Linked DNA regions of Kluyveromyces lactis. The protein of the gene in region 2 binds, or shares a complex with, the protein of the main gene of each other region. Links are inferred from orthologs where the notes say so. Each region holds a gene or a part of one and is shown on either strand. Other genes may lie near its edges.

What was found.
Region 1: RQC2 (region 2) and CDC48 share a complex: the UniProt entries of both Saccharomyces cerevisiae proteins name them as parts of the ribosome quality control complex. The link is inferred for Kluyveromyces lactis from reciprocal best matches to the Saccharomyces cerevisiae genes RQC2 and CDC48.

Annotation. Positions count from the first base shown.
Region 1 is NC_006042.1:552,880-557,284, reverse strand, and holds CDC48 (AAA family ATPase CDC48), read left to right. Parts: upstream 1-1,386; coding exon 1,387-3,879; downstream 3,880-4,405. Other genes in the region: HNT1 (adenosine 5'-monophosphoramidase), read left to right, coding at 151-202, 351-745; cyclin PCL2, read right to left, coding at 4,294-4,405. UniProt on the Saccharomyces cerevisiae protein: ATP-dependent chaperone which probably uses the energy provided by ATP hydrolysis to generate mechanical force to unfold substrate proteins, disassemble protein complexes, and disaggregate protein aggregates.
Region 2 is NC_006042.1:2,527,246-2,531,566, forward strand, and holds the start of RQC2 (Rqc2p), read right to left. Parts: upstream 2,984-4,321; coding exon 1-2,983. Other genes in the region: deadenylation-dependent mRNA-decapping factor PAT1, read left to right, coding at 3,703-4,321. UniProt on the Saccharomyces cerevisiae protein: Key component of the ribosome quality control complex (RQC), a ribosome-associated complex that mediates the extraction of incompletely synthesized nascent chains from stalled ribosomes as well as their ubiquitin-mediated proteasomal degradation.

The DNA.
Region 1 (4,405 bases), about 2.0 Mb from region 2:
ATATATATAAGGGCCAATACACAAATGTATAATGATGAAAAAAGACTGAACTCCAATTAGTTGCAGATTCTCCAACATTTTCGCAGTCGAAAGAAATATTGCAATAAGTACCGATACGTGTGAATTCAAACGTTTAATAAGCCGATACCAATGAGTGCTGTTGCCCACGACGCTGCTTGTATTTTCTGCAAGATTATCAAAGGTATGTAAACCTCAAATTGTTAGGTGAGAACAAATATCTGTTTCTCCCCTTGGTTTTTGCATGCTCGCAACCACCCAAGTGGCTTAGACTAGCTCTTTGATCTTATGAACTATAATACTAACAGATTCCACTACTGGTGTACTTTCAGGTGAAATCCCTTCTTTCAAATTGGTTGAAACTCAGTATTCTTACTCGTTCCTTGACATCCAACCAACTGAAGAGAACCACATTCTTATCATTCCAAAGCACCACGGTGGGAAATTGCACAACATCCCAGATGAATACTTAGCTGACCTGTTGCCAGTTACTAAGAAGTTAGTGAAAGCCATTGGCTTCGACCAAGATGGTCCTGATGGTCCAGGGTACAATGTCCTTCAAAACAACGGTAGAATAGCCCATCAAGAAGTAGATCACGTGCATTTCCATTTGATCCCAAAGAAAACAAAGGATGCTGGATTAATCGTAGGTTGGCCTGCACAGGAAACTGATTTTGCTAAGCTGAGTGAAATGCATAAAAAGTTGCTTGCCAAACTAGAAACCTAAGCGCGATCTTTTTCGCAATGAAAGAGACCAAGATATGACGAAGATGACGAAGCTGACGAAGCTGACGAAGCTAACGAAGATGATCATTGAGATCGTCTCATATATATTATAACTACATATTTCCTACTGTACCAATTTCTACTTACCATTCACATAAGGAATCCAATAGCTCATTCGCATTGTGGGAGGGATCTTCTTAGAGAGGAGATGAAAAAATATTGTTACCCGGCCGAAATTTCACATATCCGGTGGCAAATTCTGAAATCTCTAGATTATAAAGAGGGAAGCGATTTATTATATATAAGTATTGCACACTATTTTCGGTGATCCTTGAAGGTTATTTTCAGGATTAACACCAGTAAGTGAACGCTAGATTAAATAAAGCACTCACCAGGGATTTACAATAATTGTCTCCTTTAATTGAATCATTGAATCACCAGATTAGGGGTTAGATCAAGTTATTTAATTTTTGTTTTATCTTCCGTCTTTTGGTTGAAATAAGAAGAAATAAGGTCCAATTTCAGAAGTTAATCAAGAAACCTGCATATCCTGTTTACCAAGAGCTTAATTACATCGTGGATCCTACCAGAAGGAATTACAGTATCTTTAAAACAACTTTTCACCTCAGTTATTAAGAGAACATGCCAGAAGAACATAAGAAATTGTTAGATAGTTCTGGCACTGCAGCTGACGCAGATGATGCTACCGCCACTGCCATCTTGAGAAGAAAGAAGAAGCAAAACATGTTACTGGTCGATGATGCAGTTAACGATGACAATTCTATCATTGCTATCAATTCTAACACTATGGATCTTTTACAATTGTTCCGTGGTGACACCGTTTTAGTCAAGGGTAAGAAGAGAAAGGACACCGTTTTGATTGTTATGATTGATGACGAACTGGAAGATGGTGTCTGTAGAGTAAACCGTGTTATTCGTAACAACTTGAGAATAAGACTCGGTGATTTGGTCACTATCCATCCATGTACCGATATCAAGTATGCTTCCAGAATCTCAGTGTTGCCAATCGCTGACACCATCGAGGGGTTGACTGGTAATCTATTTGATGTGTACTTGAAGCCATACTTTGTCGAAGCTTATAGACCGGTTAGAAAAGGTGACCACTTTATCGTTAGAGGTGGTATGAGACAAGTAGAGTTCAAGGTCGTAGACGTTGAGCCTGAAGAGTACGGTGTTGTTGCCCAAGATACTGTCATTCATAGTGAAGGTGAGCCAATTAACAGAGAAGATGAAGAAAATAACATCAATGAAGTCGGTTATGATGATATTGGTGGTTGTCGTAAGCAAATGGCTCAAATTAGAGAATTGGTCGAATTGCCATTGAGACACCCACAACTATTTAAGGCCATTGGTATCAAACCTCCGAAGGGTATTTTGATGTACGGTCCTCCAGGTACCGGTAAAACTCTAATGGCCAGAGCTGTGGCTAACGAGACAGGTGCATTTTTCTTCTTAATCAATGGTCCAGAAGTCATGTCCAAGATGGCTGGTGAATCTGAATCCAACTTGAGAAAGGCTTTCGAAGAAGCAGAAAAGAATGCTCCGGCCATTATTTTTATCGATGAAATTGATTCTATTGCACCAAAGCGTGACAAGACTAACGGTGAAGTGGAAAGAAGAGTCGTTTCTCAATTATTGACTCTAATGGATGGTATGAAGGCTAGATCCAACATCGTTGTCATTGCAGCCACCAATAGACCCAATTCTATCGATCCTGCTTTGAGAAGATTCGGTAGATTTGATAGAGAAGTCGATATTGGTGTTCCTGACGTTACTGGTAGATTGGAAGTCTTACGTATTCACACTAAAAATATGAAGTTGGCTGACGACGTCGACTTAGAAAAGTTGGCCGCTGAAACCCATGGTTATGTTGGTGCTGATATTGCCTCCCTATGTTCTGAAGCTGCTATGCAACAAATTCGTGAAAAGATGGACCTAATTGACTTAGATGAAGACGAAATTGACGCCGAAGTGTTGGACTCATTAGGAGTTACTATGGACAACTTCAGATTTGCATTGGGTAACTCCAACCCATCCGCATTGCGTGAAACCGTTGTAGAATCTGTTAATGTCACATGGGATGATATCGGTGGCTTGGATGAAATTAAGGATGAATTGAAGGAAACCGTCGAATATCCAGTCTTGCATCCAGATCAATACACCAAGTTTGGTTTGTCACCATCGAAGGGTGTGTTGTTCTACGGTCCTCCTGGTACTGGTAAGACTTTGTTAGCTAAGGCTGTCGCCACCGAAGTGTCTGCTAATTTCATTTCGGTCAAGGGTCCTGAGTTATTAAGTATGTGGTACGGTGAGTCCGAATCCAATATCCGTGATATTTTCGACAAAGCCAGAGCTGCAGCCCCAACTGTCGTTTTCTTAGATGAATTGGACTCCATTGCTAAGGCTCGTGGTGGTTCTTTAGGTGATGCAGGTGGTGCATCTGACAGAGTGGTTAACCAATTATTGACCGAAATGGATGGTATGAACGCCAAGAAGAACGTTTTCGTTATTGGTGCCACTAACAGACCAGATCAAATCGATCCAGCTATTTTAAGACCTGGTAGATTGGATCAATTGATCTACGTTCCATTACCAGACGAAACAGGAAGATTATCTATTCTATCAGCCCAATTAAGAAATACACCATTAGAACCAGGACTAGATCTAAAGACCATCGCTCAAGCTACACAGGGATTCTCTGGTGCAGATTTATTATATATCGTACAGAGAGCTGCGAAGTTTGCCATTAAAGATTCCATCGAGGCACAAAAACGTGCAGAAGTTGTCAAGAAAGAAGAAGGTGCAGAAGAAACCGAGAAGGTCAAGACAGAAGAAGACGTTGAAATGTCAGACGTTCAACAAGAGGATCCAGTTCCATTCATTACCAAAGAACACTTCACTGAAGCTATGAAAACAGCCAAGCGTTCTGTTACAGATACTGAGCTTCGTCGTTACGAAGCTTATGCTCAACAGATGAAGGCATCCAGAGGACAATTCGGCAACTTCTCGTTTGGTGATGATTCAGGTGCTGCCGCAACTCAAGCTGGTGCTGAGGGTTCTGGTGCAGCTTTCGGAGATGCCGCTGGTGAAGATGACGATGATTTGTACAGTTAGATACATAACCTTCACAAAACATAACAGGTCTTTTTCGATGCAAAATGAAATGTAATAAATTACAATACAGAGGAATACTTGTTGCTAAATTTACGTAGAGATTAAATATTATCTATTAATCACGTGTAACAGGATATTTGAGATAACTGGTTTTAATATGGTTAAAAGATTCATCAGTCTTAGCTATCCCTTCCAATTTTGGGTCTTGAATTCATCTTTAATTCGACCTAGTAGTGCAATGGTATATTTTCGCCAGGCAAAGCAATACAGGGTCTCCGAAGTAAAACCAAATTATATTAATGAATACATATATGTGCGAGAGTATGTACGTTTGAATGAAATAGAAAGTTGAGAGAAAGAAATGCAAATACCAAATAGTCACCTACGTGCTTCAATGTGTTGGCAATCCGTCCGTTAATGGAATATCGAAGCCCAGCCTGACTTTGAAGATATATTATTTGTGTTTGTGACTGCATGTGCAGGCAATGCTTTAAAGTCCGTACAAGACTTAGAATTCAACATAATA
Region 2 (4,321 bases):
TATCAGAACAAATAATAGGAACGACATCCAAAGTTTTGATTAGCTTTATTGTTTCATGTTCTCTTGGCCAATCTAAGTCTTTATCGTACTCCGAACTGTCGACAGTTCTATTCAAGAAGTAATGTAGAGTTTCATTAATAGATTTGCTCTTCTTTGCAGTGCCAGGCTGTATTTTGACTTTATACTTATTTTTAGTTAAAGCAGCCCAGGGGGCATAGACAGGGATAACGTCAGCTATTTTATCATCTTTGGAAATACCGGTTTTCAATTGATTCAAAAATTTTGGAATATCAACTTCGACCTTTTCTGATTTGTTAAACTGCAAGATGCGAGTTTGCTCTTGGTTTTTACGTATCCGCTTTTTAAACTCCCTCTTTTCGGCTCTTTCCATCTCTTCAAGTTTTTTTTGCTTCTCTCTTTCAATACCTTTTAATGTTCCAAGTGCTTCTAGTCTCAATAATCTTTCTTCTTCATCTTGGTCAAAGTACTTCTTTTGGATTTTTTTCAATTTCCCTCTCTTACCACGAACCGCTGTATTCATATTTTCAACAATTGAAGTAGCTATAGTCTTACTCTCATCAAAATCCTCTTCACCTTTGGATAAATCACTATTTGAGAGTTTCTCGTACCCATCAGTGGCCTCTTCTCCTGCTAAAGCCACTTCATCGAAATTGTTGACATCGAACCCTAGATCATTAATTTCTTTTGAAATAACGTTTACATTATTATCAATTTGGTCGACTGGGTTTGTTTCCGGCTGAGAAGTATGACTTGTATCATCGTCAGATGCTTCTAAGTCACTATTTTGTTCATACTCACCCTCTTTTTCCTCGCTATCCTCTGTCTTTACTTTCCACACAAGTCCTAATCCCATCACTAATTGTGCTGGTGGCAACATGTTTTTAGCTTTAGGTTGTTTCATTCTAAATGATCCAACTGGAAGAACACTGCCATCAATGTCGTCAAATTTCGTTACATTTTTAGCGAAACACCACCAAGGAGAGGATGCAATCTTTTTTGACCATGCATCACTTGCAGAATTTGCAAAAGTACCAGCTTGCATTAGTGTGTTTGGTGGTACTTCAGTCTTCTGAGGGTTCAAAATCCAAGCCTTCACGTCAAATGCATTGGTGACCATAATGTCATCGTCATTAACATACTTTGCATAAAGTTGATCAGTTTCGACGGGACTCTTACCCATCAGTACGAGAAAACTTTCGCTAGAAATAAACCAGTAATATTTTTCGAAAAAATATGGAGTTCTAATTGCTTTCAAGATATCATGAGATTCCTTTGACTTCTTTTGTAGATCTTTTTCGATCTTTTGCTGGATACTTTTTAAAGCCTTTTCAGCATTCTTCTCAACTTTTTTTTGTTTCTCTGATGTCGCCTTTTTGGCGTTGAAATAACTGGAGGCGTTTGCAAATGCCGATAAAGATAAATCGACTGTCAGCAGAACAGTTTCCCGTTTCTCTGATGTTATCTTGGATTTTCTTCTACTTTGCTGTTTACTTTTGGATGAAGTTAGTTCTTCAAAATCAGAATCAGAATAATCCGATGAGACAGAGGAATCTGATTGGTTAACATCACTTTCGTTTGATGAATAATCAGCTTCTGACTGATGATGTTCAGTAGAATCATCCTCGCTGTACCCATCTTTTGGTAATTCAATGGTAATTTTATTATTTGGTAAATCCATTGGCAGCTTAATGATCCGAGCAATCTTGTTGCCTTTCCGCTGCTCGTTTGCTATTAAAGTTTCCATACTTTGCCAGTCCATTTGTTGGTCCAATAAGCTTTTAACTGCATTCTTGGCCTCTTCTACTAAATTTGCATTAGCTATCAAAATGTTTCCTTTTTCTTCGTTAGTTTGTTGTGCATGTAATAACGATTTTATAATAGTTTCATTGTTATTCTTTGCCTCATCCAATTTTTTTTGAGCCTGGAAATCCTGATTTTGGATACGGCTAGCATATTTGTTTGATTCTATTGTAGAAAAGAATGTGTCTACGGTATTATTGTACATTCCGCCGATTTCGATAATTTTGACGTCAGTGGAATCTCCTACAAAGGGTTTGAAGGGATGGAAATTTGAAAAAGTGTATTCAAGTTCCGGCTTGTCTCTTAAAGGATCGTACAGTTTGTTCTTATGAGCCACTATATAACCTATTCTTGTTGACGTAGTCGAGATCAATTTATTTGCTTGAACTTCTAATGAGGACATTAAGTCAACAAGCACAGAGACATTGTGTTTAAACTCAAGACACGAAGAAGATGGATCAATACCAATAGCTTTCAACGAGTTTTGAATCAAATCACTTGATAAATGTGGAGCATGAACAAATAAAAGTTTTTGAATAGACGGAACAGATGCTTTTCCCTTGAGTTTACCTTTTTTAGCCTCTCCGGGCACAATTGTGCTTTTGGCTTTAACGTCGGCTTCTTTCAACCAATCTGCTATTTCATTTTCGAAATATTCCTTAGGATCAGGAACCGTAGTTGAAGTTTGGTTAATTTCTGCAAAGTTGGCCATGTCATAAAATTCACCAACTTTCATCGAATAATCATCGACAACTCTCTGTAGTAAAAGAATTTTTTGGTCAGCATCCAATAAAAGCACATTTCCGGCACTGAAAAATTCTAAAACAAGGTAGTACTTACCATCAGCAAAAGTAAACACAATTATTCTGTCATTTGGGATCTGCTTAACTGCCGTCAATCGTTTTTCTTTCAAATACGATCTCAATTTGGAAACAAACCACGAAGGAGTCGGGGGAATCGGCCTGGTAAAGTCAGTAGTATGAACTCGCAATCCGCAATCAATGACAACGTTTAACTTGGAATCGGGTTTTCCAAACTTTAATAAGAATTGCCTGTTTGAGTCAGCAATGTTATAGATATTTCTTAAGCGAAATCCTACAATTTGATTCTCCAACTCTTTGGATATCAGTTGCAAATCTAACGAACTCAATCTCTGTTTCATTTTCTAGTATCAAATCCAAGATTATAGTTTAGATATTTCGTACTCTCCAAGTTGCAGTTAAGTCCACTTTACCAGTCTGAGTTGATTCTTTTCGAGCACTATACTTGATTCAGATCTTCATACAAATCAGTATTTTCACTGCTAATCAGATTAAAATTATTAGAACTTGGTCACTGCTATTAGATCAGATATCTTTTATTACTTAGGTTTAAGACTAAACTGCTAAGCTGATATATTTTCCAGATAGCTGTACCTAGGATGTTAGTAGTATATGTCATCTTTGTCTATTCGCAATCACTTTATATATGCTGCTAATGAAGGAAAGAAAGACTACGTACGAGTTTGTATTGGAACTTTCTAAACTACCATGTTGAAAAATGTCAAATATTTGAAATCACATGACCTGAATTTCAAATTTTGAACTAGAAATCCTTAATATGTATATCATCTTGCACGGTGAAATTTTTCATCAAACAACAACCCAAAAATGTAATTCACTTAACAAGCAAAGTAGTTTCTATGCTCAAAAATAAGTGATCAGAGATATTCAGAGACCGTTTGTTGGAAGATTGCTTGAACGAAACGCAGGCAGGTAGCGACTTAAATCACATTACTTGTGTTTTTAAGAGAATATAATAGGATTTGTCGACAATTCTGATCTAGAAATCGATTTTTGCCCAATTAGTATAGGAGTCCTTATATTCCTGAATCACTGAACGATGTCATTCTTCGGTTTTGACGCCACGGGCCGAAAACCTCGTGAGAGGAAACAGCAAGGCGAGGAGGATTCTTTAGATTTCGAAGAAACGTATCAAGGCTTGGGTGATTATGAGCCAGAGGAAGATGATTTGCTCAATGATGAAACTTTTGGTACTGGAGCGGATCTGGGTACAGATTTTGATTTTGGTTACGGTAAAGGGGAGCTTGGCGCTGGTTCAGGTTCTGGTAGGGCACCAGCACCAGCTCCTGTTTCTTATGCATCTATTGCAAATGCCAAAATGAACAGACAAGCAGACTGTAAACCTGGTTTCGAACAATCGCTGGACATGCAACCTATGGAATCTTTATGGGGTAACAGCTCCGGTAATCAGCAACAACAGGTGCAACCTCAAGCCCCTACACAATTCCAAGCCCCACCACAGGTTCAACAGCAAGGTGCACCTAATGTGGAAGGATTGGCCATTCAATCTTTAGACAGACAACAACAGATGGCTATGCCGCCTCAACCTGGATTCTATGGTATGCAACCTCCGCAGAACCCTGGCTACGGCTTTATTCCACAAGGGTTCCCTCAAGGTCAATACCAGCAATTCCCTGGGCAAAATATTCCCCCTGTTA